Linked DNA regions of Diceros bicornis minor. The protein of the gene in region 2 interacts with the protein of the main gene of each other region in a pairwise test. Links are inferred from orthologs where the notes say so. Each region holds a gene or a part of one and is shown on either strand. Other genes may lie near its edges.

Evidence for each region.
Region 1: the proteins of MEOX2 (region 2) and CSF2 interact in binary tests that used the Homo sapiens proteins (3 or more experiments, as listed by UniProt). The two-hybrid records come from large-scale screens. The link is inferred for Diceros bicornis minor from reciprocal best matches to the Homo sapiens genes MEOX2 and CSF2.
Region 3: the proteins of MEOX2 (region 2) and IGFN1 interact in binary tests that used the Homo sapiens proteins (3 or more experiments, as listed by UniProt). The two-hybrid records come from large-scale screens. The link is inferred for Diceros bicornis minor from reciprocal best matches to the Homo sapiens genes MEOX2 and IGFN1.
Region 4: the proteins of MEOX2 (region 2) and PIN1 interact in binary tests that used the Homo sapiens proteins (3 or more experiments, as listed by UniProt). The two-hybrid records come from large-scale screens. The link is inferred for Diceros bicornis minor from reciprocal best matches to the Homo sapiens genes MEOX2 and PIN1.

Annotation. Positions count from the first base shown.
Region 1 is NC_080740.1:51,374,673-51,381,126, reverse strand, and holds CSF2 (granulocyte-macrophage colony-stimulating factor), read right to left. Parts: upstream 2,603-6,454; coding exon 2,444-2,602; intron 2,344-2,443; coding exon 2,302-2,343; intron 1,564-2,301; coding exon 1,438-1,563; intron 657-1,437; coding exon 549-656; 3' UTR 522-548; downstream 1-521. UniProt on the Homo sapiens protein: Cytokine that stimulates the growth and differentiation of hematopoietic precursor cells from various lineages, including granulocytes, macrophages, eosinophils and erythrocytes.
Region 2 is NC_080742.1:42,092,942-42,100,752, forward strand, and holds the start of MEOX2 (homeobox protein MOX-2), read right to left. Parts: upstream 3,002-7,811; 5' UTR 2,940-3,001; coding exon 2,426-2,939; intron 1-2,425. UniProt on the Homo sapiens protein: Mesodermal transcription factor that plays a key role in somitogenesis and somitogenesis and limb muscle differentiation. Required during limb development for normal appendicular muscle formation and for the normal regulation of myogenic genes.
Region 3 is NC_080777.1:29,494,513-29,501,336, forward strand, and holds the start of IGFN1 (immunoglobulin-like and fibronectin type III domain-containing protein 1), read left to right. Parts: upstream 1-3,808; coding exon 3,809-3,818; intron 3,819-3,884; coding exon 3,885-4,007; intron 4,008-5,233; coding exon 5,234-5,373; intron 5,374-6,475; coding exon 6,476-6,575; intron 6,576-6,824.
Region 4 is NC_080769.1:9,218,939-9,226,124, forward strand, and holds the start of PIN1 (peptidyl-prolyl cis-trans isomerase NIMA-interacting 1), read right to left. Parts: upstream 3,005-7,186; 5' UTR 2,957-3,004; coding exon 2,899-2,956; intron 897-2,898; coding exon 684-896; intron 1-683. UniProt on the Homo sapiens protein: Peptidyl-prolyl cis/trans isomerase (PPIase) that binds to and isomerizes specific phosphorylated Ser/Thr-Pro (pSer/Thr-Pro) motifs.

The DNA.
Region 1 (6,454 bases), on a different chromosome or scaffold from region 2:
GGAGCCCTTGAGCATCCAGTGAAGCACGTCCTGGTGTGCAGAATGCTGCACCCAGGGCACCTTTCACTTCCCCTCTGCTCTGACTGCCCCTTGGACAGTGCCCAACCTGCCACAGGCCCTCCCCTACCTCGAGGCTTCCTTCCCTCCCTGCCCTGTGGGGAGGAAAGAACCACCAGCATTTGCCCATGGTTGAAAACAAACTGGAAAACTGCACAAATAAGAACAGATTTTTAATAATTTATTATTATAGTAAAACATCTTGAATAAATATGGAGCATGAGCTTAAATAAATAAATAAATAAATATTAAAATACATAAATACATAAATAAATATGACTGATCCCTGCCAGTGTAAAATATCTCCTACTCCCCTACCACACCCATATCAAGGTCAGCATGGCCCAGAGCAAGTCCATGTCTTCCACAGCCCTGGCCCACCCTGTGGTCCCTCCAAGGTGAAGATCCTGAGTTTCGGCTCTTTGTGGGTGGGAGGGCAGCCATCTGTGAAGTAAGCTCCCAGGGCTAGCTCCTGTCTGGACCGGCCTGCCTCACTCCTGGACTGGCTCCCAGCAGTCAAAGGGGATGTCAAACAGAAATTTCTTCAGGTTCTCTTTGAAACTTTTGAAGGTGATAATCTGGGTTGCACAGGAAGTTTCCTTAAAAAAAAAGAAAAGAAAAAGAAAACTTGAGTCCAGACGTGAGTGGGTAACGTGAGGGAAGCACCAGCGTGTTTCTGCGCTGCCTCTTAGATCTCAGAGGCCAGAAGGCCCCTCTGGGGTCTGCCTGCTGACCTGGCTCAGGTAACATGTTGCCACCCATGTGCCACTCAAAGGGTACACAGCTCTGCCAGGGCCACAGACCTGACAAAGTGCCAATCTGAGGCTGGTCTGCTGGGCAGTTGGGGCAACTGCCTCTTTGGTCCCAGGCCAGGCTGAGGCTGGCTCCAGGATCCCAAAAGGGGCAGGCGTCAAGGCCACAGACCTCATTCCCTTCCCACAGGAAAGGAATGTTTGGGGCCTTTGTCCATTCCAGGTATGTCCCCATCCTTTCTCCCAAGTAGTCCAGCACCCACAAGGGGCAAGAGGAAAGTCCTGTCGGGAGGCAGCACTTGGGCCCAGGACTTCCTCTGGACCTTAGGCGGGCCCTGAGTTTCCTTGGGTTTGCCTCACCTCTGACCTCATTAATGACAACAAATAACAAAAGTGGTAGCAGCTCCCGCTAGGGAGCGCTGTAGGCTCCTGAGCTCCACAGCTTTAACTCCTAGAGATGAAAATGGGCTGGACTGCTCCCTCTCTGGAGGAGCTAATCATTACAAATCTGTTCAGACAGAAACCCTTTGGGATCCTGAACAGCCACAGCCACAGGTCTCTCCCTACCCAGTCCTCTACTCTCCCAGGCTGAGACCTTCCCGCTTGGGGCCCAAATGTGAGCACTCACCGGGGTGGGGGGGCAGTGTTGCTTGTAGTGGCTGGCCATCATGGTCAAGGAGCCCTTGAGCCTGGTGAGGCTGCCCCGCAAGCCCTGTTTGTACAGCTCCAGGCGAGTCTGCAGGCATGTCAGCTCCTGTGGGAAATGTCCGTTTCTCAGTGAGCAGTGGCCAAGTGCCCTTCTGTGGGCACAGGACACCTTCTGCATCATTCTTTTCTGTTCTCATCCCTGTCCTCCAACAGTAGGGCCTGGGAGGGGCACAGGATGATTCCTGACTCGTCTCAGGCCAGGTCCAGTCACACAGACTGCCCTGTCTCCCTATCCATTGCAGACACGAGTCTGACTCCTCCTCACTATTCAGCTCAGGCCACCCTCAGCCAGCACAGCCACATTCCCTTGGTCTGGCACCTCAAGAGGGTCCCAGCCCCCAGGAAATGAGGTCACTAACCCCTACCATTCAGGGAGAGAGGGGCGGAGCAGGACATCAGCTGGACCTGTTGTATGAGCAAGGCTTGTTCCTGAAACCACCCCCGTGCCCCTCTGTAGCCAGCACCCTGTCTCCACAGGGCTTGCTTTCAGCACACAGTGAGTACCCCATGCCCACAGCCCCTGTCTCACGAAGTAACTTCCGCTTACCCAACTGTCCCCTAGTCACCCCAGGCCCCTTGAATGCTAGGTCTGTACATGGCTGCTCAGCTAATAAAGGAGCTCACATGATTGCCACACGGGCAAGGCCGGTGGCCTCTTGAGTACCCCTCCTGGCAGCCAGCTGACTGGAGAGAAAGTGGACAACCCTGTGAGGGTCCATCTAAAATGGAGCCACCCCCTAAGGCAGAGACCTCTGGGAAGATGTGTCAGAGAGAAGCATCTTACCTGGGGGTCAAACATTTCAGAGACGACTTCTACTGTTTCATTCTGTAGAAAAGGAAAATGTCGTGTTATCAAGCTGATAGGCAGGGCCAATTGGGGCCAGCGAGGTGTCCCAGGCACAGCCCGTGCTCCCTCCCTCACTCACCATCATAGCAGCAGTGTCACTACTGTGGTTCAGAAGGCTCAGGGCCTCCTTGATGGCATCCACGTGCTGCCAGGGCCGGGTGACAAGGCTGGGTTGTCGGGTGGGTGCGGAGATGCTGCAGACCACAGTGCCCAGGAAAAGCAGGTTTTGCAGCCACATCCTCCTGAGGACTTTAGCCTTTCTCTCTGAGCACTGGGCTCACTGGCAAAGGAGCTCTTATATACACAGTTAGAGGAAATGATTAATGGTGACCACAAAACGCCAGGGAGGCGGGGGAACTACCTGAACTGTGGAATCTCCTGGCCCTTATCAGCTACACAAGGGAACGGTGAGCCTTTCCCCTAGGTGGTCAGGCTCGGGGGTTTTCATTAATGAGCCCTTCCAAGAATTGGCAGCCCACCGCCTGCCTACTTGAGCGTGCTCCAGCCCTCCTTGGGCAGTCTGACCTGCTGAGGCTGTCCCCTCCCCCTGAGGGGCCTCTGGGCACAGCTTGGACTTCCTGGCCTGGAGTGGCCGGGGCGGGGCCTGGGAGACACTGGATCAAGCTCATATTCCCAGGCTCCCCCGGATCCTGCTTGTTATCCCAAGAGGCCTTTGGGCTGGCTGTGTCCACCCTGCGGTCTGTTCCAACCCCAGACTCCCCTTCTCCTCCTAGAGCCCTCTCCTCTGGCCACAGTGAGAGATTTGAGTGTGAGGAGGACACTCACTCTCAGCCCACTGTCCACCTAGGCAGATTCCAGCCAAATGGCATAGACCTGCAACAGTTCCCACCAAGGATGCAGAGCAGTCGACAAGCTCAGCCCCTCCAGGGACCTCTGCCTTACAGCCCCTGTGAGCAGAGAATGGCAACCGTGCACACATCCAGCCAGCAGGATTGCAGTGCTCCTTCATGGTGAGGTTCCATCTGACAGCAGCAGTTCTGGTTTACACAGCCATATTCAACGCCCAAGCTGCAGAGGTGGGTTGGGGTTCCCAGCTGGGGTGCATTAGGGCCCTGAGTTCAAATCCTGATTCCAGCACCACCTTGCTGAGTGACTTTTCCCTCTGAGCTGTGTGAGCCTTGCCTCGCTCTGCAGGGCATGACAGCCCCCAGCAGGCGCCAGGAGCTTCAGAGGCTGGCTGAGGGCTTATGGCTGCATCCACACCAGGGGGACAACAGCGTCTCAGACAAGGTCTTCCAGGCTTAATTTCCTACATGGCCCCTGCCCCAGCCCACCTCCAGCTCCAGAGGCCTCTCTGTGGAACAGGAACTGCTTCTGGGAAAGCCACAGGCTCTTGAGAGTCTGAGAAGTGTTTGATTTTCACAATGGAGTTAGGAAAGGATAGCACGAGTTTGTGTTTGCTGCGAGTTTCAAGGCCACAGGGGTGTAGGTCCACATGTGTACATTTCTGAGTATCTATGTGCCAGTGTGGTTGGCTGTGTCTTACAGGCGTGTCAGGAAGGGGGAATGTTTTACATGAGGTACATCCATGTGAGCCCCCATGCCTCTGCAGGTACCCCTCTGATATGGGGAGGACAGGATGGGGGAGAGTGTTTGGGGCACAGAGAGGTGATCTGTTTCTGGGCCCCAGAGTCTGATTCAGCCTAGATAATGGGGTCAGACACAAGCGAGGACATTCTGCTGGGCTTAAGTGGACAGCCCTCGAGAGCAGGTAGAACTCATGTGTCCCGGGGTCCAAGCCTGCAGCCCTGGCAAGTTTCACTGCATGGCGGGAGGGTTGCTGCCCTTGCATGGAGAGGCCAGGCCTTAGTCCTTCAGACCCCACTGGGGTGCCTGCCAGGATCTGGGACCCACCATGAGGTCAGCCCTGCCCTTCTGAGCCTGATGGAACATTCTTAGGTGGCCAGGCTGGGGGTAAGAGTATGGCATGTCCAGGCCCTGGCGCTTCCTCCACCTTTTCCATAAGGCCTCTGCTCAACCCCTTCCAAGGAAGGGGTCAAGGAGGCTAAGATGCAGATGACACACAGAGTGAAGGTCTGTGTCAGACAGTGCCCTGGAGGCTGGGTGGTAGAGAGTGGAGGCCACAGGCAGTGGCTAAGTTGGTGGCCAGAGAGGCAGAGAGCTGGTATGGCCCCTCTGAGATGGAAGGTCACTTTCCTCCTGGAAATGAGTCATCACACTAAGACAATTAGTCAACAAACTTTTCCAATCTGCACCAGGCCCTGTGCTGGGGAGGAGGTGGATGGGACCCTCCCACTCACCCTCACATCTGGCCCTGGAGGCTCTCAGTCTGGTCTGTGAGACAGACAGCAGTGGACCCTCCCATTGTGTGGTCCAGGCTGGGATGAGGGAAGTTCAGAGCTGAGGGAACCACTTCTTCCAGTTTGGAGGTTCAAGGGGACCAGAGAGCTTCCTGGGAGATGCTGCCTCCCAGCACAGGCTGAAGGGGCAAGTAGAGTCAGGTAGGCAAGTCAGGTTGTGGGATGGAGAGGGAGGACAGGATAGGGGGAAGTATTTGGGGGCACAGAGAGGCAGAGGGTTTTAGGAGCAGGTGTGGTAAAGAGGAGGCAGTTTCCAAAGAGATCTAGGAGGTAGAATCTGGGTAGGACTTGGTAACATTCATTCAATATTTATTGAGAACCTACTAGGTTCCCTGCGCGGGAAGGGGAATACAAGGATGATGGAAAACAGACAAGGTCCTGCCTCTATGTAGCCTCATGGATGGAGAAGCAAGATTAATCTACTCACCGTCCTCCCCAAAGTATGCTTTTGTGTGTAAGAAGAGTTGGAACCACTGTCCAGGTGTCTAAGGTGGGGACCCAGGGGATGAAGGAGTGGGTCTGCAGGGTCTAAGGGCCCATGGGAAGGTTCTGTGGTTTGGAGGCTGCATGCACAGGAGACAGACATGGGAGTGGTCCATGTCTATGCAATCGCTAAGGCCACAAGGCTGAGGGCCAGAACAGTGGTGCTTAAGGGCCAGGCGCATGATAGCTGGGCAAGAGACTCTCCAGTAGCCAAGGGCACTAGGAGAGCAGGAAAGCAGGAGCCGCAGGGAGAGGGCCATGCCAGCGGTGTGGCTATGGGCACCAAAGGTAGCACACAAGGGACAGCAGTCCACGGGTTTGGCAATGAGTTTCGTGGTCAGCCACACATCTTACTTCTGGAAAGATGACATCAGGGCTGAGGCCATGACATGGGCAGGCATTCCTAGATTGCACCGCATGGAAAGTGGCAGCAACAGCATCCAGCAGCGTGCTGACTCAGGGGCCCCAGTGGGACTGTGGGAGGGCGGGGGTGAGGACCATGATGGGCAGTGTGACTCCTCTTTGGCCCCCTTCCCACATGGCCAGGAGAAAACCCTCTGGAAGAGGTTTCCTTTGAGTGTCCCTCCCACAGGTTCTGGAAGAAACAGGGGCTTGTGGCCACACCAGATCCTTATCACGGAGGAAGTCATCATGGGAGAAGGAAACGGGCCTCCGAGTGCCGCGCAGCCCATGTGACCTCTGCATGGGCGTCTCAGCTCATCTCACCCTTCCCTGGGCCTGCAACCCCTCGGTGGGGGGCGTCCTTGTCTTCCCTGGGGACCTGAGGCCCAGGAGACCAATGGCCCACCCAGTCCACATAATCAGTAATGGCAGAGGCAGGATTTGAACCCATAACCGTTCCTGCTCCCCTGATGTCTTCTACTATCTCAGTTGGAAAGCCAGGAAAAGCTGGTCACCTGGCTAGACCAGTGGGGGGATGTCCCCCTCAGGGCGGCTGTAAAGGGAGATGCCTCCAGGTGCTGGCAGGGAAGCTGGAGTGGCCTGTGACTATCCCAGGGAAGCCCTGGGGGCCGAAGGCAGAATTTCTCCAGCAGAGCCTACCATCCAGACATCTCTGTGTCTCCAGCTCAGGTCTGGGCTCTCCACCACTGATCCCTGGGTAGCCTGAGAAAGTCCCTCCTCCCTGGGCCTCAGCTCCTCCATCTGTTCAATGGGTTTAATTATCGTTGCCTCACAGAGGTAATTGTTGCCCGTCCCAGGAAACTTTGTAGGGGAATCCTCCCAGGGAGGAGGCAATGTTTCAA
Region 2 (7,811 bases):
GACTTATGTGTTAATAATATATCAGAATTATAGTGATTTCCTCCATTGCTTTAGTTTCTGCTATATCAAGATACCTTTATAATACTATGAAATGAAATAACTATGAACGTAAATTATGGAAGACCAAATGCAATATCATCTCAGGAGAAAGATATCTTGAATTAAAATCTACCTAGAGAGCTAACAAATATTAATTAACTTGAACAGTGAAATTGGCACTAAATTTTATTTTCAATGAGCATACATAGATTTAACCAAAAACTATTGTGAAATTTCCTTTTAAATAGTCAAAAGTTCTTTCAAAATATCCCATCAAAGAAAATATTCATTCTAACTCCCCAGTGATTCTATCTTTGGTGATGACTAATTGTATTTCCCACTCAAGATGTAATCTATTAATACTTTATGTAACTGATGCAAACTTTGGGGATTGTTTGTTTTTTTCAGTACTTTAATTATCAGCTTCAACATGTAAAAATAAAGTTATTTTGTTATACGGTTATTTCCCACCAAAACAGGGTTGCACTATTAATATAACCAATTTTTTAAGAAAGTTGTTATTAAAATAATTTAAAGGAACCCACTTTAAATTCTTTAAATTTAAATTAAACCCACCAGTTCTTAGATCCCACTTTCTCTGTTTCTCCCCAACCAAAATAACATGTGCCTATATGAACATTCAGTTTGCCGTAAGAAACTTAGGTGTGTTTGGTTCAGTTCAGGAAGCATAGGAACAATCCATCACATAGGTTTCTCACTGCAGAAGTAAAATGAACAGTAAGAGCTTCTAGTAATTGCAGAAGTGCTGCTGACCAATTTGAACTGGGATCTGCTTCCAAAAAAAGTTACACTGATATCAAATGCTGAGTCTATGAAATGATCACTGCATTCTAAAAATGACCTTTTTTTCTGGTGAAGATGGAAACCTTCTTGTTATGATTAACCTTTTAACTTTGTCTTAAGAGAGTTTCACTTATGGTTAGTAAAAACCATTAAAAATGAGTGATACTGCTGGTAACTTTCTTAGATATAAACTAATTTGTGATGGAGCATTAAAAGTTCACCTCTGACCTTGTAAAGTAAAAGTTAGATTTTAAGTTTGTGATAGAAGAATCCATCTCATACTAACACTGAAGAACAAATGATACTATTGCTGCAAAGGCACATGAGAAATATGCAGTTCAATCATTGTCATTTATGTGGGATCTTACCTAAAGCATTATAAAGGATAAACATTTTCCAATCTTTCAAACCAATACCTGGAATTACCTTCTTAGGACTGTTAAACCAATTCCGCAAAGGAAGAAAAATATGTAAATATTATATTAAATGACCCTTTCCAAAAAGATAGGACGTATGTTGCGCTATTAGCTACAGAAGAAAACTCACAAATTCTCTGATCGTCAAGTATCTTAACAACTTCATAATGATACAGATAAGTAACGGCTTTGAGGAATTGTCCGTAAAACTTTAGTTTCTCTAAATTGCTTCAATTTAGTTGGCAGCCTGTGCCTTCAAGCCTCCGCGTTCAGTAAGCTTCCCGTTTTGCGTGGCTGCTCGAGTTATCCCTACGTAGATCAGCGCCTTCTGCGTGCACCCTCGCACACCAGCCTCAGGCACATAGCGAACTAGCACTACCCGGATTGTCGTTTGTTTCCCCATACTTGTCTCCGATAATACTCAGTTGGAGGAGGATTTTACTTTCCACTTTAGAAATTTAAATTAGCACCACACGAATACAACTACTATTAAGAATCATCACTCTTCAAGAGTCTGAGTGTGTATTTATTTACAATTTTCTGATACGTTCCTTTAAATCCTCTGAATTCCTAGATTATGTCTTCTTCCCCTAGAAAGGGAAATTTTTACCATTTGGAATAGGCTGCTATTTAAAGAACTCTGAAATCAGAATATTTTCAAAAAACGACAACTTATTTTTTCTCATACTCTCTGCCAAGTTCCATTGCAAGTTCCAAATATTGTGCAATAATTTGGAAATCCAGTTAACGATGGGAAAAATCGAGCCACTCGGAGTCGGGAACTTGCAAGGGAAAAGTCAAGGAGCGGCACCCGCACGCACGCCCAGCGGACACTGCATCCCAGGGTGCACTCCCCTCCCCATCGCTCAGAGGAAAGGTCACGCTTCGCAATCGATTTCACATACTGTCACTTGTTCTTTTTTCTTAACTCTCTGGTAAACTAGTTTGAACCTTGGAGGGCTTAGCGCTGTTGGCTGCAGTGTCGCCCTCGGAGAAACACGTGCCCCCAAATAACAGGACCAAAGCAGCCCCGCCGAATTTGGCGACGGGGAGTCAGAGAGGGCAACAAGACGTGTACCATATTCCCTGCCGCCTCACTATAGTGCGAGAATCCTCCCTGTCATCTCTCCGCCCCCTTTCGCCGAGGGTGCCTGGTGCATCCTTACCTGAGCTATCGCTTTTCCTCTTGCCGCCGCTTCTCTTCTCCGCCTCAGCGGGTGACAGCGCCTGGCGGCCGTAGTCCCCAGGCGCGCACGCGGCCCCGGTCGGGGTGCTGGAGCCCAAGCTGGAAGAGTTGGAACACAGGACCGGTGGGCTGCTTCCCAGCTCCGGGGGCCCTCCCGAGTCCGCCTGGAGGCAGAGGCTGTGCCGAGCTGCACTCGGAGGGGAGGACATCTGCGGGAGGTGCCAGTTGGTTTGCAGAGCTTGGTGCTGTTGCTGTTGGTGGTGGTGATGGTGATGATGGTGGTGGTGGTGGTGCCCCCTGTGATGCTGGCTGGCAAACATGCCCTCCTCGTTGGGGTATCCCGCGATTATGCAAGACGAGGAAGAAGTGGAGAGCTCGGGGTAGGACATATGGTCAGATCTTCCATGGAGGGCGAGAGAGGATTGGGAGAACGGGTGCAAGCCTTGCGCGGTGGCGTGAGGGCTGCGCAGGCAGCCAAAGAGCGGGTGTTCCATAGCATGCAAGTCTCGGGTTCCAGGCAGAAGACTTCACGACGAGTCCAAACGCCACTACCCTCTGTCACTTTTCACTGAAAACCGTGTGACTTTTTCCCTTCCCAAAGCAATAACCGCCCGCGTTTCTGCAGAGCTCGGATAATCCCTGTCCTGAGCCCCAGCGGCCAGCCTCCTTCACATATAAACACTCGGACCTGGAGGAGCTTCCCTCCGAACTACTCAGATGTCAAGAGTAGGAGAGGTTGAAGCCAAAAGAAGGTGGTCCCAGAGAACAGCTTTCAGGGGGAAACGGCTCTGAGAGGTTATAAATAGAGTGTAATGTGAGCTGGGGGCTGGCTTAGGAGGCCAGCGCTGACCACATGCAAACTCCCTCCAAAACTCCCGCTCAGTGTGCGCCACGCGCTCCGAGTTCCACTTCCTATCTCCGGCTGGACGCACGCAGCGCGTCCACGCCCGCCGGCCCCCGCCAGCCGCCAAGGCTGCAAGCGGCGCGCCTGGCGCCTAAACCCCAGCCCCGGCGGGCGTTGGCTCTCCCCTCTCGACTCGGTGCACCGAGGCGCGCCGCGATGCCCGCCAGTCGCAACCCCGCGCCCAGTGTGTGGCCCGCTCACTTCTCTCAGGAAAGGTGTCTTGCTAATGCCACTTTGGCACTGTCATCTGCAGGAGAACTAGGGGTGCGCTCAGCTCTTGAAGAGCACGAAAGGAGCAGTAGAGTTGAGGAAGATCAGAGCTAGTTTGGCGCGCGCTCAGAGAAGTTTTTCAAACTTCGCGTGAACTTGTGCCCTGGACCAAGTGACGAGCCTAGCTTTTTGCAGCTGGTATCTGTGGGTGGGTTGTTAGTAGGTTCGGATGCTAGGTCCGAGGTTGCAGGGAAGTTCCCAGCGGGCAAGAAAAGGCCAGTCTCGGTGCCAAAAGGAGAGGGACCTGGTGGGGTAGGTCGGAGGAAAACGTGGGGCGGTGGCAGTTGTCGATATCCAGACCCTGGTATCCTCACCTGCGGTGCCAGGTGTGTACTCTCTTCCCCTGGTTTCCGCAAATGTCGTCTCTGCTTTCCGCAAATTACCTCCCCTCTGCTTTCCTGGTCCCACTCAATTTCCTAGACACTTGTCCACCAAGAACTTTTTCTGGGACAGGAATATTCCGAAGCGATTTCTTCCCGGTCACATGAGATGTGTATACTGCACGCACTTTTCCAGTCTTTTCCCTCAAGAGCCAGCCCATGTCCCCTCATTTCCCTCCAGAAATCCACCCTCTCTTCCGCTGGAAAATAAATCAGCTAATCGCAACCCTTCCCACCCTCCCCCCAACCCATGCCATGGCTCCGTTTATTGAAAAATATTGCACTTGAATATCTCCCAAAGTTCACTATACCTGGGTGCTTTAGGTCTCCTTGGTTACAATCTTGCATCATAGAAAATGAATTAGAATACTTGCCACCAGTGAATTAGTGCGAGCGACGGCTGATACCGCCACTTTTGATGCTGCCACTTGCTTGAGGGGCGACACTGTCTGCTGGGGGCAGAGTCGTTTGTTTACACAAGGCAAGAAAGCCTCGTGTAATGAGCTGCAGAACAGTTGAGTCCCGCCTGGGACCTGTCGCATCAGGAGAATATTGACGCTCACCTATCCCGCCGGGGGACCCCAAATGTGCCACCAGCAGCGTCGCCCCGCTATTTTCATTGTCTCAGGTGTCCAGAGGATGGGGACCAGGTCTTTGAAGTTGTTAATGGGATTAATGGGGACAGCAAACTGCGCCAGCCATCTGGCTTGAATTAGGAAAAAGTATTGATTAATCTGTGAGAAGTGTCCCCAAGGCAGAACCTTTTCCCTCGCCCAGTCCCTCAGGCTTCAGCCTATCTCCCTTTTCTTTTAAGCCGTACTGCAGAATAGTGGCTTCGCAACAAAGCTTTGCATCCATATGTAAGTCCGAATTGTTTTCCATTGCTTAGAGGTGGGGTGAGGCGGGAGTGATCAGGAATTCTGAGATTTGTAAGTGCTGCTTTCTTTAACGGAAATTGAGCCCTATTTTGAGGGAAATTAGTTTTGCAGACTTCGTTAAAAAAAAAAAAAAAAAGCTAAAACTTTTGTTCACCAGCTGCTCAGCTTCTCAGTCTGGGTCTGAGCTGGAACCTGCTGCAAGCGTTTGACGGTAAGACTTTCTTTGCCGATATGTTTTGGGAATCTAATCTTGCTTTAGACTTCGAAAGGGGGTGTTCTTCAGGTTGCACGTTTCTAAGGGTTTTAACCACTCGCAGGATGGCGTCCAGGGCTTAGACCTTAAGAATGTTTCTTTCTGCCACTCCTCATGCCCTTGACTCTTTAAGGATAAAAAAAGAGGGACTATATTCTTCTAATATCGTCGGAATATTTTTTGAATTTTCATTGTGTTTATGGTTTCAATATGTGCTCTGATATTAAAAGTTGAAGTACAAAGAGCCACACTAAACTTCCCAAACTCGGGTAACTAACTACTCCATGGATTCTGGGTGGAAGCATTAAAGGCTTTATCCAAAGAGAAATTTAGGCACCCACCTCCATAAACAGTAACTAGAAATATTTACTGAATATAATGCTGTCTACTAAAAGCATTGTGGAAAATGTCAGACAAGGCTAACTAAAGATACACTTGATCTGCACACATCAATAAAAAACATCCATAAAGGTCCTTTTGGTTTGCATTACAGTGGTTTGGAAGGGGCGAAGCAATTGGGAAATGAATGGATTTGAATTTAACCAGTGTGTTGCAGGTAACTAGCAACTAGCAAACACAAACTTTTCATCTCCAGGAGCTGCCACTTCTCCTTGAACCTGCCCGATGACTGTGCTGGCTTTTTTCTCACTCACTGTGTCAGATGTTAACAACATGTCCAGAAATTTCTCTACAACCTGCCTCAGTCAGCCAGCCTCTGGAATGGTGGGGCTAGAAGTCTGAGAAAGAAAAATTAGAAAAGGTTAGAAAGGGAAGGAGTCTCTTTGAAAGGCATGTAATTAAAACAAAGCTAGCAGGAAAGGTCTTTTTAATTGAAGACACAAAACGTATAATATCAGTAAAAATGATGAAGTCCAGATTTCTAACAGAAAGCATAATATAAGGAAAACGTTATTTGGAAGAGAAAAAAGTGTGATTCAAAGAAGAAAGGAGTAAAAAGGAGGTCTTGATGCATTCCAGAATTAAATATGACTTTTATTTTTTGTGAATTTCCAAATATATATTAATTACTCCATAAAGTTTTTTTCAAAATTTTCATTTCTTAGAATATTTGGATTAAGATAAAATATGGGTTTTTATTTTCTAGGCCATAGAGAATTTTTTCAAAATGTAATAGGAAAAATTTCTAGCGTTTCCTATGATAGCTACTTCAGTGTCCACATCTATAAAATCTGATGTTGAAAGATGCTTTCTTACCTCTAATGGCTAATTATATCAGGAAGAATGGCAAAAATTACAAAATTTATTATAGAGTTTCTATAGCATTCATTTTAAACTATATATTATATAGTATTTATTCTATATTTACAATATACTTGAATTTTCCTGAAAAATGTTCTATTAATACAAATATTTCTTGCAAGGTTTTGATATCAAGCAGCACATTATAACAAGAGGTTCAATATACAAAAAACGTAAGCTGCTCATCTTTTGTAGGAAACATAATCAAAATTATTTTAAACATGTGCTTGGCTCTTTAAATTTGATAAATATGTATATCATTCCTTCTGCTTAATGAAATGATATTCAATAGTAAAGGCAGCGATTTTTTTTAATTAAGACTTTTATTTTAACGGGACTAGAATTTAAATTAAGCAATCTGAAACATTTATTTTTAAATTTATTTTAAGAGTCATGATGATTCTTTTAAGAGTTGTCATTCTTCTATACACTTGTGACATGAGGCATGATGGGAATAAAATATTTAAAATTAAATATTATCTTTAGCTACAGATATCATAAAACTTTACTTTGCATTTTACCTGCTAGATATATTTGCCTTAGTAACATATAGTTATGATATATGAATTTAAGTATGGAAAATTAAATTGAGACTGGAATTTGTCTCTGAAAGTTTTGTTGAGGATAAAAATATTATTTCTGCTATTTCTCCAAGAATAATAGTTATGTCCTTCAGTTGGTTCTTCTGAAATAAAGAATTTTGAAAATATATTAAAATATGCTAAATACTCAAAGGTAATTTATGTGATTTATGATGCACTCCATTTTTAAAAACTAAGGAATTGCCTTTCTCCAGGAATTATGCATTGTACAATTTAAAAAACAATTTTGCTATGGCTAACTCTTGTTATTTAGTAATTCTATATACTTTTACTGATTTTTATAATAAATAACTATTTTTACATAACACTAACTACTGCTTTCGCAATAAAATTTGTTACATTTCTACATATACTAGAAAAAAATGCATACTTACACATTACTTCTGAAAAGTGTAAAACATCCAACATACTTTGTTTTTCTAATTTCTATCTCTTCCTACATTTGTGATTTCTTTCAGAAATTAGTGTTTTTCTTCAATTCAATTGAGGTACTATATAGTAAATAATATTCAGAAAACTAGCATGAAATGTATATTATGACTGATAAAATTAAATTCATAAATTTAATTAAAAATTCAAAATATATGCAACCTTCCATGATTCCCATTGATTTCCACATACATTTTATGAAATTCTAATTATCTTTTTGTGTGGGGGGGGGAGTGTTAAAATTATGAAGATATTGACTACCTCTCAAATTTTAAAAGCTTCTATCTGAACTTCCTTTTGTCCACCTGTTTTAAACCCAGAATTATTCAACAATGTTACCTCATAATGATGCACATGGGGAATAGTTACATTCAATTCCTACATTTTTAT
Region 3 (6,824 bases), on a different chromosome or scaffold from region 2:
AACACACAGGGGGATGCAGAGATACACGAGTGTGCGTGCACACACACGCCTGTGTAAGAGGTCACACACCAACCCTCTCAGAGCACGTGCAGAGGCTCCTATAGAGTTGGCAATGTGCTAATATCTAGTGCCTTCTTGGAAAACATTAGCTCTCATTTCCCTTCTCCTTCCCCTGAATCCTTGATCAAGTCTTGCTTATTGGTGGCCACTAACTGGTTCTCTGTCCTTCCGGAGAGAGCAGGTGGCTCTTCCAAAGCAGACCAGGTGGCCTTGTCACCTTGTCTCCTTCTGGGCCTCACCTGCCTCCACTCTTCTTAAGAAAGTCTGTTACCAGCCATCCTATCCCTAGTCCCACCTTCCACCCACACATCCGCAGAAACCCAACCCTGCCACCGTCAGCCCCCAGCCCAGCAGCCGGGTCACCCCTTCTATCCCGAGAAAGCTCACCTTCTCCCGGAAGGCCTCCCAGTTGTTCGACTCCCGGGGTCCCCCCTGCCCCACACTTTTGGTGGGGCACACCCCATGGCAGAGCCTTTGGGATCATGCCCTCCTGTCTGCCTAGGTCTGTGTCTAGCTCCTGAAGTTTGTTGTTGTTTAGTGCCACTTTAGGTTGTGATTCACAAGAGGGCAGTGGCTTTATATATCTGTGTGACTTGGGGTGTCAAGGGTCCCAAGGGATCAGCTTAACTGAAAAAATTAAGGCTTTGGCTGATGAAAATGCCCCCGTTAAACAGGGTCAAATAAACGAGGCAAAATGGAGCAGACTGAACCAAGCTAATCTGGTTAAGAGCTCAAAGCTCTGCAAGACAAGAAGTTGGATGAGCTGATGTCACAGGACCCTTCCATCTCTGACCTCCTCGGAGGCCAGGGCATTAATACTGGGGGGCCTGCCCTGCCAAGCCTGGGTATAGGAGGAGGACGGGGGTGGGGTGAGTGGGAGGGGCCGAGGGAGCCGGGTGTCTGCCGTGACCTACATCTGCTCCCAGCACTGCCTGTCCAGCAGCAGTCCATTCAGAGCCTCTGGCAGCGTGCAGCAGCTGGAGACGGGGAGGAGGGAGTGGACAGGAGGCTGGAGGCGGCTGTGCACCCAGGTAAGTGGGCACTGCACACCTGGCTGCCCACCCAGAGCGAGGGTAGGGCAGAGAGGGAGATACTGGGATGCTCTCTAACATTTCTACTCAGGAAGGGGCAGGCAGTGGGCGTGAGATCAGTCGGGGAACACTCCCTGGGGTGCACGTACATCCCCTCTGTACAACTCCAGGATATTTGCAGAAGAGAATTTCAGCGAGTCCTGTCCTGGTGGTTCTATCCTGGCTCTGATTTTCCGGGCGCTGCTTGGCTTGGAGTGTGAAGTGATGAGCAGCTTAAAGATCTGACTGGCCATCCAGAATAAGGACCTCAGGGCTGGGACTTGTTCCATCTTGAGTAATAACAGGTCAGAGCAGTGGAGAGAAACCCCCTTTGTCTCTTCCTGCCTCTACTCCTACCAGCCGAGAAATGGGGGCAGCGGGAACCTGGATCCGCAGGATGCAACAGCAGGTGGAGACGGGATGGAGGCTTGAGGGTCCCGGAGAGAGACCAGGAGACCCTGCCCTGGGGTCCGGGGCTGAGAGCCATGTGGGGACAGGCTGGAAGGAGGACACGAGCTGCTGTGTGGTCCTGAGAAGAATTAGGCTTCTTCTCAAAAGTGGGAATGAACCACGGAGGAGAGAGTATGTTTCCTTCCCCATCCCCTCCGACTGAGACCGCATCCCTCTGGTCTCCAACCAAACAGATCTCTTCCCCATTGCCATTGACCTTGCACCAAATCTGGCTTATTCCTGAAGAGAATGGAGGTCTGGAGGGCGAGATGGCTTAGCCTCGGACCCCTAAGTCCCCGTAGGGGTTCTGCTCCTCTCTCCCTCCCCAGCTGAGACCTGCAGGCAGGAGGCTGGAGGGAGAGGAGAGGTGTTAGCATTGTACTTCTTCATGTGTGACAACCGAGTAAGTGCCTGACGGCTGGTGGTGACGATGATGGAGGTTGAAGATGAAGATGATGGCTGAGATATCTGTGTTGAACTACTCCAGAGTAGAGTAGTAGACAGGTGGAGAGTGGAGGTTGTGGACAGGTGCCAGACGGGGAGTGGGTGGGACGGAGGCCCCTGCAGTCGTCCCCCGGCTGAAGCTGGCTGGGTTCTCCTCCACTGGCGCTGCTCTCCCTCCTTGCCCTCCCCTGTGACTCCTTGCTGCTCAACGGCTGTGGCCCTGTGACTGCTCCAGAACACAGTTGGCACCACGTGGCATTCCAGCACACTGGGGGGCAGTGGCTGGGCTGTGGAGGGGACACCTTGGGGCCAGAAATGCCAGTGGGTGGGCAGTTGTGAAATGGAAGAATGTGAGTAGGAGGGAGGAATGTGCTCTGTCATGTGTGATCCTGTATTTATAGCAGGGCTCTTAGGGGGGGAATGGAGGCTCCAAAATGGAACCCCTTGGCCATGGGCCAACCACACAGGAGGTGGGTCTGCTGGAGAATTCTTTCAAGTCATCGTCTCCCCTCTCCAATTCATGGCTTTCATCAAGGCTCTCACCCCAGCCCAGAGCCAAGACCCCTCCCTCTCCTAGGTGGCACTCACCATGGGCCAAAATGGATAGATGTACTTAAGAGGAAGTCGGGGGGAGGGGTGCGGGTTGGGAGAGGCTGGCAAAACACTCTTGCTCACCTGACGCTATAATTCACTGGCTTCAGAGGGGGGCAGATGGATTTATGGGGAGCCCCTCGGCCTGGGTCGAGAAGAGCTTAAGAGCAGCCAAGTCAAGGATTCTCTCCCGCAGACCCAGTAATGGGAAGGATTCCAGATTGGCTGAGGTTGGGAGGTAGAGGGCTCTGGGCCCTGCTAGAAGGTCTCGGAGTCCCAGAGAATGTCCCTGGAAAAGTGATATTCCAGAGTCAAGGGGGGCAGGCTGTTCAGTAGCTGGAAGGATCCTGAATGCTGGAATTTGATCTCCCGAGGTTCCGGGAGGCTGTTCCTCACCCTCTGAGTGGTCGTTGGGCCTGGGTCCCACCAGGAGGCCAGCCCACCAGCCCAGTTTGTAGGCTCAGCCCCCTGGTGTCCTTTGCCTGGGAAAGGTCCAACTCGGCAGCGTCCTACCCCTTCCCAACTCTGAGAAATCGGTGTTGCTGAGCAGGGATTGCAGGAAACCCATCAGCGTCATTAGCTGGGGTGAGACAAGCTCTCGGGGGCAGTAACCCCACCCGGCTCCCACCCCAGATGCTGGCTGTGGCACTGATGGGTGGGGGATGGGGAGACCAGCCCACACCTCTCATAAGCAGGCCTGTCTTCTATTCTCAGGAGACCAGTCACCACCCTCAGCAGCCAGAGAGGAGCCAGAACTATGGCAGGTGAGGGCAGAGCTCCCCTCCCCTCCCCTAGCACCGCGTTGGCGTTCCTCCCCTGGGTGGAGAGGAGGGAAGGGGGAGGGCTCAGGGAGCTTTGGGAGCTCACCTGCTTCTTTGCTTTTTTTTACTTTTGGTTTGGGGTTTTAACTGGTTTTCCAGAACAAAATGTGCAGAGGCCCCCATGTGGGCCTTGCTTCTGACAAGGAGCCCTTTCCCACTCTCCCTCTCCAGCTTCACCCCAGGGATGCTCCCAGAGTCTTCCCAGGGCGCCCCCTGCCCACTTCCCAGAGGCCCCATTCGCACTGCTGGCGGACCACTGCCGGACCCCACTAGAACATTCAAAAGCACTGCTCACAGGCAGAGCTGTGGGAGACAGTGCTGCCCGACACTGGGGGAGCGAAGAGGGCTCTTCCTCCTGGGGAAAGTGGGTCAATGCTCCATGGTGTGGAAGGGCCACCCATGAGGGAGAGAGGGTAGGGCCCATCTCCCTTTCTCCCGCCTTCTCCAGGGAAGCCCTTCAAGAGGTCCTCTGTCCCTGGGGTGAGCATCCGGCAGCTGGTGGAGGAGGTCCCCAAAGGATGCAGCCTGCCCAACTTCGAGCAGAAGCCCATCACCTTGGCGCTGCAGGAGGGTGAGACCTGGGAGGGGAGCCGCTGAAAGGAGGCAAGATCCCCACTCCCAGCATGCATAGGGCCGTTCTTCCCGGCCTGCCCCCCAGTGCCTAAGCCCATCCCCAGGCCACACCACTTCTCCCTATACCCAGGGGTCCCTGCCTGCCTGGATCCCCAGAAAGGCAAGGCTCTGGGGAGCAGAATGGGTGAGGGAGTGAAGACATGCCATGTTGGCTGATGCAAGAAGTGTCTGGGGAACAAGAACTGGAAATGCTGAACTGGGAGCAGGAGGAGGTTGTGGGGTATCCCAGTGTCCCGCCCTCTCCCCTCCTCCTAGCAGCTGCAGCAGGGAGGCAGCGAAACTGAATGAATTCGGGATCCTCCCAACCCTGGCCTCCGGAAGCCACACGCAGCGGCTCACAGGCTGGGCTCTGGAAGTTTCTGGAAGGCCACATGAGAGAAGTGCCCGGGAGAGTAGGGGGAGCAAAGGCTTGTTGGGGAAGGCATGCAAATTAGTGTTCTTTCCCCAAACCACATCCCTGCAGTGATTTTCAGTTTACAACACTCTGGTATAAGAAAAATCTTGGCCCTCTAGTTTTCTCAATCTGACTCGAAGCCCCACTCCACAAGGTCGTGAGAGTTTTGTCTCATCATTGGGAAGTCCCGTGGGTCTTTACTGCGTACACTCTCTATTGAGATGTCCCTGTGGGGAGCCTGAGAGGTTCCTGGAGGGGGAGCAGCTCCCAGCCTCCCACGCCAGACACGGAGCGTGGGGTCTTTTCTGAGGCTGGAACCCTGCGTCTCAGGACCAGCTCCTTTGAGCGCCAAACAGCCACACCTTTCCAAGGTTGTCGTCCTGCCCTAGAGAGTGGACATGGAACCCACAGAAGACTCATCCGCTTCCCAGTCTTGGGGAGTCCTTCAGACTCCTTACCGCATTCACCTGCAAAGAAACACCCCTCCCACCCCAAGCCCTGCTCACCACCCCTCCACCATGGACAGTCCGGCTGCACCTCCTCCTCAAGGATCCCGGGTGTTGCCATACAAAAGCCAACCGAGGATTGTCTTCTGAGCGCCCGGAAGCTAGAGGAGTCCTTGAGTCAAGGGGACTGAGGCCTGGCGCCCTTCCTGCAGTGGGCCATTGGAACATCTAGAGCAGCGAAGACAACATAAATTAAAATCTCAGTAAACATACTCTCCCCCTCCCCCAACTTGTCAATCTCCCGCCGGCCTCTTCCCGCTACAGGGAAAAATGCCATCTTCCGGGCCGTGGTATGTGGGGATCCCAGACCCGAGGTGAATTGGCAGTGCAGCAAAGGTACCCTCAGTCACTCCAGCAAGTACCAGATCTCTTCCACCCCTGGCGGCAAGGAGCACGTGCTGCAGGTGAGCAGGGGTAGGCTGGGGTCCACCCATCTCTTCCCGTCCCCTCGAGGGGCTCCTTGGTGGCCTCCAAGCCCCAGAGCAGTAAGAGATACCCCCAGCTAGGGCTGAGTCCACTCAACTCCACCCTGTGGCTCCGGGTTGCCTGAGCCAGGTGTGGACCCAGCAGGCTTCCAGGTGGCTCTGCTGATAACTTGGGAGGCAGTGTAGACTGGAGCTTAAGAACTCAAGCCCGGAGTCAGACTGCCTGGTTACGACCCCAGGCCCACACCTTGGCCTAGGAAGGCTGCTTACTTCTCTGCACCTCTGTTTCCTCATCTGTCAAGTGGGTCATAATAGCACCCACTTTATGAGGTTTCTATGGGGATTAAAGGTTATGTAAAGTGTCTGGCAGTGCCTGGCCCGTAGTGAGTCCCACTCAACCAATGTTGGTCAATATTAGCCATATTTATCGCTCCCAGTCATGGACCTCCTACTGTGTGCTGGGCCCTGGGCTAACCACATGATGTAGATTATATACTTTAATCCTCATCATTCACCGTCTTTTGAGGTATTATTACCCTCATTTTTTTTAAATAATTTTATTTATTTATTTATTTTCCCCCAAAGCCCCAGTAGATAGTTGTATGTCATAGCTGCACATCCTTCTAGTTGCTGTATGTGGGATGCAGCCTCAGCATGGCCGGAGAAGCGGTGCGTCGGTGCGCACCCGGGATCCGAACCCGGGCTGCCAGCAGCAGAGCGCGTGCACTTAACCGCTAAGCCACGGGGCTGGTCCTTTTACCCTCATTTTTAAGTAAAGAAACTAAGGTTCAGAGAGGTTAGGTAACTTGCTCAAGGTCCCAAATCTCTTAATACATGACAGAGACGATGTGTAGTCTCAGATACGTCTGACTCAAGTAAGCGAGCTCTTTCTGCTACACTGTGTTGCCTCTGATGGCAAAGAGCGGGCACATCCACCCTCTGTCCTGATCTGGGATTCTGTTTTAGGGTGTGCTTTCCTGATGAGGACAAGGGCCGTGTCTTACTCATCTCTGTGATACACAGCCATGTCTAGTAAATGGAGGGGGATGCTAGCCCTGTCCCCCGCCCTTGTCCTCTGCAGATCAACAAGCTGACGGGTGAGGACATGGACGTGTACCGCTGCACCGCAGTGAATGCGTACGGAGAGGCCATGTGCTCCGCCAGGCTCACCGTCATCGAAGGTGGGCACCCCGGTCCGTCCCTGGCTCTGTCCCAGCTCCCGGCATCTAAGGCCTCCTCGCACCTGTGGGGAGGGAGGGGGCCCCAGGAGGCTGCTGCCCTGCCTGGAGCCAGAGCTTGCGGCCTCGTCCACTTACACACTAGCTCTGCGTGTGGTGGCACAGGCGCACGCTCGGCAGACGTCCCATTGCGGGCGCACTGAGGGACTTTCTCTTAGCCCCGTGGAATGAGCTCAGGACCTGGAAGTTGGC
Region 4 (7,186 bases), on a different chromosome or scaffold from region 2:
GTTACAAGGCAAAGCCGACAGAGACCCTATGGCTCGTAAAACCTAAAAGATTTACCATCTGGCCTTTTCAGAAAAAGTTTGCCTCTCAACTGCTGCTCTAGACTGTGGAGGAAGCACAGAACAGAGCAAGGAACAGCCTCCTCCCTCGGGGCAGAATTAATTCACCAACTCTGCCAGCTGGTTCTGCGTTGCTACTTTCCAACCTCCCTCCCTACTCACCCACATATGTGCCCCAGGACCCTGCTCGATGATGTTACCATCAACCACAGCCCCGCTGACCGAGGGCCCACTGTGCGGCACGCAGTGACTGTCTCATTCACCGAATTTTCCCAGCGGCCTTCACAGATAGGTATGTGATGACGCCCACTTTACAGAGGTGAAAACTGAGTCTTAAGGAGGTGACTCGGGTCCCCCAAGGTCAAGGGGCTTACAGTGGCATAGCAACCACCTGAATCCAGATCTGCTAGGTCCTCCCCACCTACCCTGGCTCAGCCTCCAACACCAGATGGAAAGAAAAAGGAGAGGCGGCCGTGTGGGCCAGGCTCCTGTCAAGTTCAGGGACCCAGGGCCCCCCTGACAGCTGAGCCAGCTGGGGTGGAAGGTCTGACGTGGTTTCCACAAGGCCGGCTCTGGCTCCCGGGGAGAGGACCCCACCCCGAGCCCCCGCCGCCAGCCCCGCTCACCGTTAATCAGCTCCAGGGCCTCTTCCTTGGTCCGGGTAATCTTCTCCTGCCGCCAGGACGAGGGCCGCCGTGACTGGCTGTGCTTGACCAGCAGATGTGAGCAGCGGACCCTGGTGGGCTCCCCCTGGCCATTTTTGCCGCCGCTGCTGCTGTTGCCGCTCGGCCGCTCCCACTGGCTGGCGTTGGTGATGTGGTTGAAGTAGTACACCCGGCCTGTAGGGGGGGGCGGGCGGGAATTCAGCGCCGACGTGCTCACAGGACACCACCCTGGGCCAGCATACAGGACTGGCCGATGAGATGCTTTCATTCAGCAAATCCACTGTGTCCACCACCTGCCAGAGGCCCTTAGGAAGCTAACATTCTAGGTGGGGACAAACAGGTACCAGACAGCAAATAAGACAGTAACTTCAGCCATAACTTCAAGAAGGAAAATAACCCAGGGTGAGGAAGAGAGGAAGCCTTGGGGACAGGGAGTAGTTCAAAGCACGCAGGCAGCCAAACACCTGTTCAAATCTGGCTCTGCCATTTCCTCAAGGTATGACCTACCTGCCCCGGCCTCAGGTTTTCTCACCTGTAAGATGGAGATAACAGTATCTGCCTGGAAGGCTGAATAAGTCCACATTTGGAACTGATGCTCAGGATAAAACTCATGCTCAGGAGAGCACCTGGCACGAAGAGTGTGCCAGCTGTTATTTTCTTCATTTTAGAGACGACAAAACTGAGGCTTCACCTTGCGCATCTTTGGTTACGTTTCCTGAGTGTCTACTCTGCTCCAGGCACAAATGCGGGGAGGCAGGAACTGCACCCACGTGTGTGAGACACAAAAGCTCTGCTCTTGTCGCCCACCCCGTATGCTGTGCCGCAGAACCAGAGGCCAGAATGACTGGGGGCCAGACGTTACCTAGGACTGAGGAACATGAAGCAGTGAAGGCTGCAAATAAGAAGCTAGAAGTAGGACCCAGCAGAGATGGGGTATCATTCCAGGGGCCCAGAGTTTCCCTGGGTGACATGGAAGACTTGCGCCCAGCACCCTGAAGGGCTGATGTCACCCCTAAGGAACACTCTCAGGGTTGAGCCAGGCACAAGTGGCAGGAGTGGGGGCCCGGAATTGGGCAGAGCATCAAGTTTATGCTGCAGGTCACAGCCGCAGGCCAGGGCCGGAGCAGGCTGAGAGCTGAGCCACTGCCTGCCTCTAAAACCTTGGCAACAGGCTCCATCTCCCTGAACCTCAGTTTTCTCATCTGAAAAGTAGAAGTGAGGCGAGAGAATAAGGACATCAAACTTCACGGGGTTAACGTGGAATCGATGATGATGTATGCAAAGTGCTCGCCGCAGTGCCTGGTGGTCAATAATCAGGAATTATAACTGCCACTGCGGTTACTACGGGCTATGGAGCCACTGGAGGGAGACGCAGGGCCTGCTCCTCAGTAGTCTGCAGTGACAAGGGCAGGGTTCTAACTCAGCCCCCACCCCTGAAATGAACGACCTTGGGAGACTTCCTTAAGTTTTCTGGCCTCAGTCTTCTGATCTACAAAATGGGAGGAAGAACGACCTCTCCCCCCCCCCCCGAGTTACGGCCGTGCAGAGACAGAACACACTTAAAAAGCTTGGCACAATGCCTGGCGCTGAGACAAACGTGCCCTATTATTGACATGAATACTGTGGATGAGCCTTAACCCGGGCCCCCAGCACAGGCGCCATCCTCAGAGAGAACACCACCAGCCGCATGTCGCAGACTCAGCATTAGATGCGCACGGCAGGCGTGTTAGCAAAAGTAGGTTGCGGATCCCAGGCTGGGCAACACCCTGGGGCCACGCCCTGAGCATGGGGGTGGGGTGACCTCCCCCGGGGTGGCCCCCGGGCCCCGCGGAGTGCAGAGACGGTCCCCCGGGACGGCAGGTGCATTCGGCCGAAAGGTGTCAGCCGGCCCGGTAGGGCCACGGCCACCGCCCGGGCGGTGCAGCCGGATCACCGGCCCCTCACCCCCCGGCAGCGCGCTGGGCCTCTCCGGCCCCGCCCCTTGCCTCAGTTTCCTCCGGCTTCCCCGCTCCTCCAGCTCGCAGCCCCACGGGGCCGACTGGGCCGTTACCCGGGGACGACGCAGAGGAGCCAAGACCCCACGGCAACAGGGCGGCGGCGCGGCGCCCGAGGGGCGAGCTCGAGCTCTACTTCCGCGGGCCCGCGCGGCCCCGCCCCAGCCCCGACCCCGCGGCACCTGAGCTGCGGCTCATGCGCTTCTCCCAGCCGGGCGGCAGCTTCTCCTCGTCCGCCATCTTCCCTCCTGCCGCAGCGCCCGCTCCGCCTCCGCCGCGCCGCCTCCGCCGCCCGCGCCCGCCCGCCGCGGCCGCCGATTGGCTCGGCGCCCCGCGCACGGGGGCCTGGCCACGACGCTCATTGGGTACTCTAACTGTCCGGACTGGCTCCCTGGCTTCCTATTGGGCAGAAGCCAGAGTGGGCGGACCCTCTCCACTGTTTACCCGGGTCCCGCCCCCGGTCGGCCTCACCCCGGTCCCGCCCCCTCCCTCCCCTCGGCCCCTAAGTGGTGGAGAAGGGACTCGAGCCCGCCTTCTCAATGCCCTTTGGAGAGCTTCAAAGAACTCCCGGCCCCTCCTTTGCGCCCTTCTCCGCAGGGCCCACCCGATTGGCTACTGCAGCAGCAATTCCCGCCTTCCTCAGCCGTTCCCGGAGCCCCGCAAGCCCCCCCATGCGGAAGCGTCTGGCTGGTGCGGAGGGAACGGCAGCCGACGAGGTACTTGGGGCGGTGGCGGTGCTCCTTTGCTGTTGCCACAGCAGCGCAGTTGCCTTGGTGATGAGCAGCTAAGAACCCAGAAGCCTAAATTTGTCTCCTCCATCCTCCCTCTTCCCACCTGTTTCCTCCAGACGTCCAAAGCTAACCTACGCCCTTTTATTTTTTTTTGCAAGGCTAACCTTTTCCCTATGCCACTGACCCAAACACCTTTCATTTCCTTTGGAACCTACTTTATGTCACTTATTCTTTCTCAATCTAGCTCCTGCCTTTGCCCTTGATGACTGGTGAGTGTTGACCTTGCCACTCAGATGGGGACAGGGGAGCAGGCGCGGGTGGGAGGAGGATGAGCTCAGTTTTAGTCAATTTAAAATTGAGTCTGTGGCGTTCATGGGACACTGAGGAGGTGACTGGGAACGTGGGGCTGGAGATAGACATGGGAGTCAAAAACACCAACAGGGAAGAGTTCAATGACACTTCGTCTATAGCATGGCCCCTTATGTGACCATTAAATCGAATGAGGCGCAGTGACATGAAACACAGGGAAACATATGCACAACAAATTATAGGGGCAGGATGCGGTAGAAGGTGAGGAGCACACAGGAGCCAGACTGCTTGGGTTCAAAGCCTGGCTCTACCATTTGCTACGACCTTGAACTTATTACTTAACCTCTGTACTTCAGCTTTCTCATCTGCAAAATGAGGATAAGAAATAACACATATCTCATACATAGCTTTTTTTTTTTTTTTTTTTTTTTGGTGAGGAAGATCAGCCCTGAGCTAACATCCATGCTAATCCTCCTCTTTTTGCTGGGGAAGACCGGCCCTGAGCTAACATCTATTGCCAATCCTCCTCCTTTTTTTCCTTTTTTCTTCCCAAAGCCCCAGTAGATAGTTGTATGTCATAGCTGCACATCCTTCTAGTTGCTGTATGTGGGACGCGGCCTCAGCATGGCCAGACAAGCGGTGTGTCGGTGCACGACCGGGATCCGAACCCGGGCCGCCAGTAGCGGAGTTCTCGCACTTAACCACTAAGCCACGGGGCCGGCCCCTCATACATAGCTTTGATGGGAAGATTAAATGAATTAATCTATATAAAGCACTTAAATAGTGCCTGGTGGATAGCAAAGATAATGTATTTGCTGGGTGAAAAAACAGTAAGTCATAGTACAGCATAGCAATTATAGTATATATGAAAGCATAACATAACCAAAAAAAATCAACGAATAAAATTGATTTAAAAGAATGCCCTCATTTATAGAAAGATATCAAAGCATAAAAAGCATTAAAAAGCAAGCTGCTGTATGAGCAATATGAACAGTATGAGTATTAAAGTATGTATAATTACCTCAATTGTGTAAAACTACAGGTTTATATTACAGGAAATTTCTGGATTCATCCAAATATGTTAATGACTACCACTGGTGACGCAGGTGAAGAAATGAGGAACTTAAGTTCTAATATAACATTTTGATTTTTTTTACAAGCATGTATTAGCATAATAATCATCATCTCTCTCTCTTTTTTTTATAATTTTATTTATTTATTTTTCCCCCAAAGCCCCAGTAGATAGTTGTATGTCATAGTTGCACATCCTTCTAGTTGCTGTATGTGGGACACAGCCTCAGCATGGCCACACAAGTGGTGCGTCAGTGCGCACCCAGGATCCGAACCCCAGCCGCCAGCAGTGGAGCACGCGAGCTTAACCGCTAAGCCACGGGGCTGGCCCAATCATCATCTCTTTATAAAGATAATTTTAGACTTAGGGCAGAGTTGTAAAAGTAGTAGAGAGTTTTCATATACCCTTCACCCAGCCTTCCCTTATATTAGCATCTTACATAATAATAGGGGCCGGCCCGGTGGCTTAGCGGTTAAGTGCTCGCGCTCCGCTGCTGGCGGCTGGGGTTCGGATCCTGGGCGCGCACCGACGCACCGCTTGTCAGGCCATGCTGTGATGGTGTCCCACGTAAAGTAGAGGAGGATGGGCATGGATGTTAGCCCAGGGCCAATCTTCCTTGGCAAAAAGAGGAGGATTGGCAACAGATGTTAGCTCGGGGCTGATCTTCCTCACACACACACAAAAAAACAAAACAAAGTGGGGGAGGGAGATGCTACTCGCATTTAGTGGGAAGAGGCCAAGGATGCTGCTAAACATCCTACAATGCAGTCCCCACAACAAAGAATTATCCAGCCCAGGGCTGGCCCTGTGGCTTGGCGGTTGGGTGCGTGTGCTCCGCTGCTGGCGGCCTGGGTTCGGATCCCGGGCGCGCACCAACGCACCGCTTCTGCGGCCATGCTGAGGCCGCATCCCACATACAGCAACTAGAAGGATGTGCAGCTATGACATACAACTATCTACTGGAGCTTTGGGGAAAAAAATAAATAAATAAAATTATATATTAAAAAAAAAAGAATTATCCAGCCCCAAATGTCCAACAGTGCCAGAGCTGAGAAACCACACCTTAGAATAATTATCAAAACTAAGAAATCAACATTGGTACAATATTATGTGTTAACTAAACTAGACTTAAAAGAATTTTTCCCCCCGTTTTTCCACTAATATTCTTTTTATATTTCAGGATCCACACTGTCATGTCTCCTTAGTCTCCTGCAATATGTGACAATTTCCAGGTCTTTCCTTTTCTTTTTTTCTTTCTTTTTTGGTGAGGAAGATTAGCCCTGAGCTAACATCTGTTGCCAATCCTCCTCTTTTGCTGAGGAAGTTTCGCCCTGGACTAACATCTGTGCCCATCTTCCTCTACTTTATATGTGGGATGCCTGCCACTGCATGGCTTGGTAAGTGGTATGCATGTTCGCGCCTGGGATCTGAACCCACAAACCCCGGGCCACCAAACCGGAGCATGTGAACTTAACCACTATGCCACTGGACCGGCCCCTCCAGGTCTTTCCTTGTCTTTCATGACCTTGATACTTTTAAAGAGTAGAATGTCCCTCATTCTGATGTTTTGTCATGATGGGATTGTTGGATGTGTCCTCACGATTAGATTGAGGTTATGCATTATTGGGAAGGATACCCCAGAGACCTGTGCCCTTCTCAGTGCATCGTACCAGGTGATCGATGGTGTTGCAGTGCATCACTGGTTGTATTAAGGTATCTATTGCTACATAACAAATTACCTCACAACTTAGTGGACTAACATTCATTATCTCACAGTTTCTATGGGTCAGGAATCCAGGCAGTTTAGCAGCAGGGGCAGCTGTGGCCTCATCCGAAGGCTTGACTGGGGCAGGATCTGCTTCCAAGCTCGCTCATGTGGCTGCTGGCAGGATTCAGTTGCTAACAGGATGTTGGATGAGGACCACAGTTCCTTGCTGGCTATTGGCTGGGGGTCTCTCCAGCTCACAACATGGCAGCTGGCTTTCATCAATGAGCAAGTGCAAAAGCAAGAGAGCAAGCAAGACAGAAGCCACAGTTTCTTTGCAACCTAATCTCACAATTGATATCCTATCACTTTTGCCATGTTCCATTTGTTAGAAGCTAGGTCTAGCCCACGCTCAAGAGGAAGAGATTACACAAGGATGTGAATACTCCGACTGAGGGATAATTAGGAGCCATCTTAGAGGCTGCCTACCACACTTGTGATATTAACTTTGATCACTTGGTTAAGGCAGTATCTACACTTACTATTTTCCCCTTTGTAATAAATAAATATTTTTGAGGAGATACTTTGAGACTATGCAAATACCCTACTGCTGCTTAAACTTTCACCCACCAATTTTAGCATGTCAGTGCATC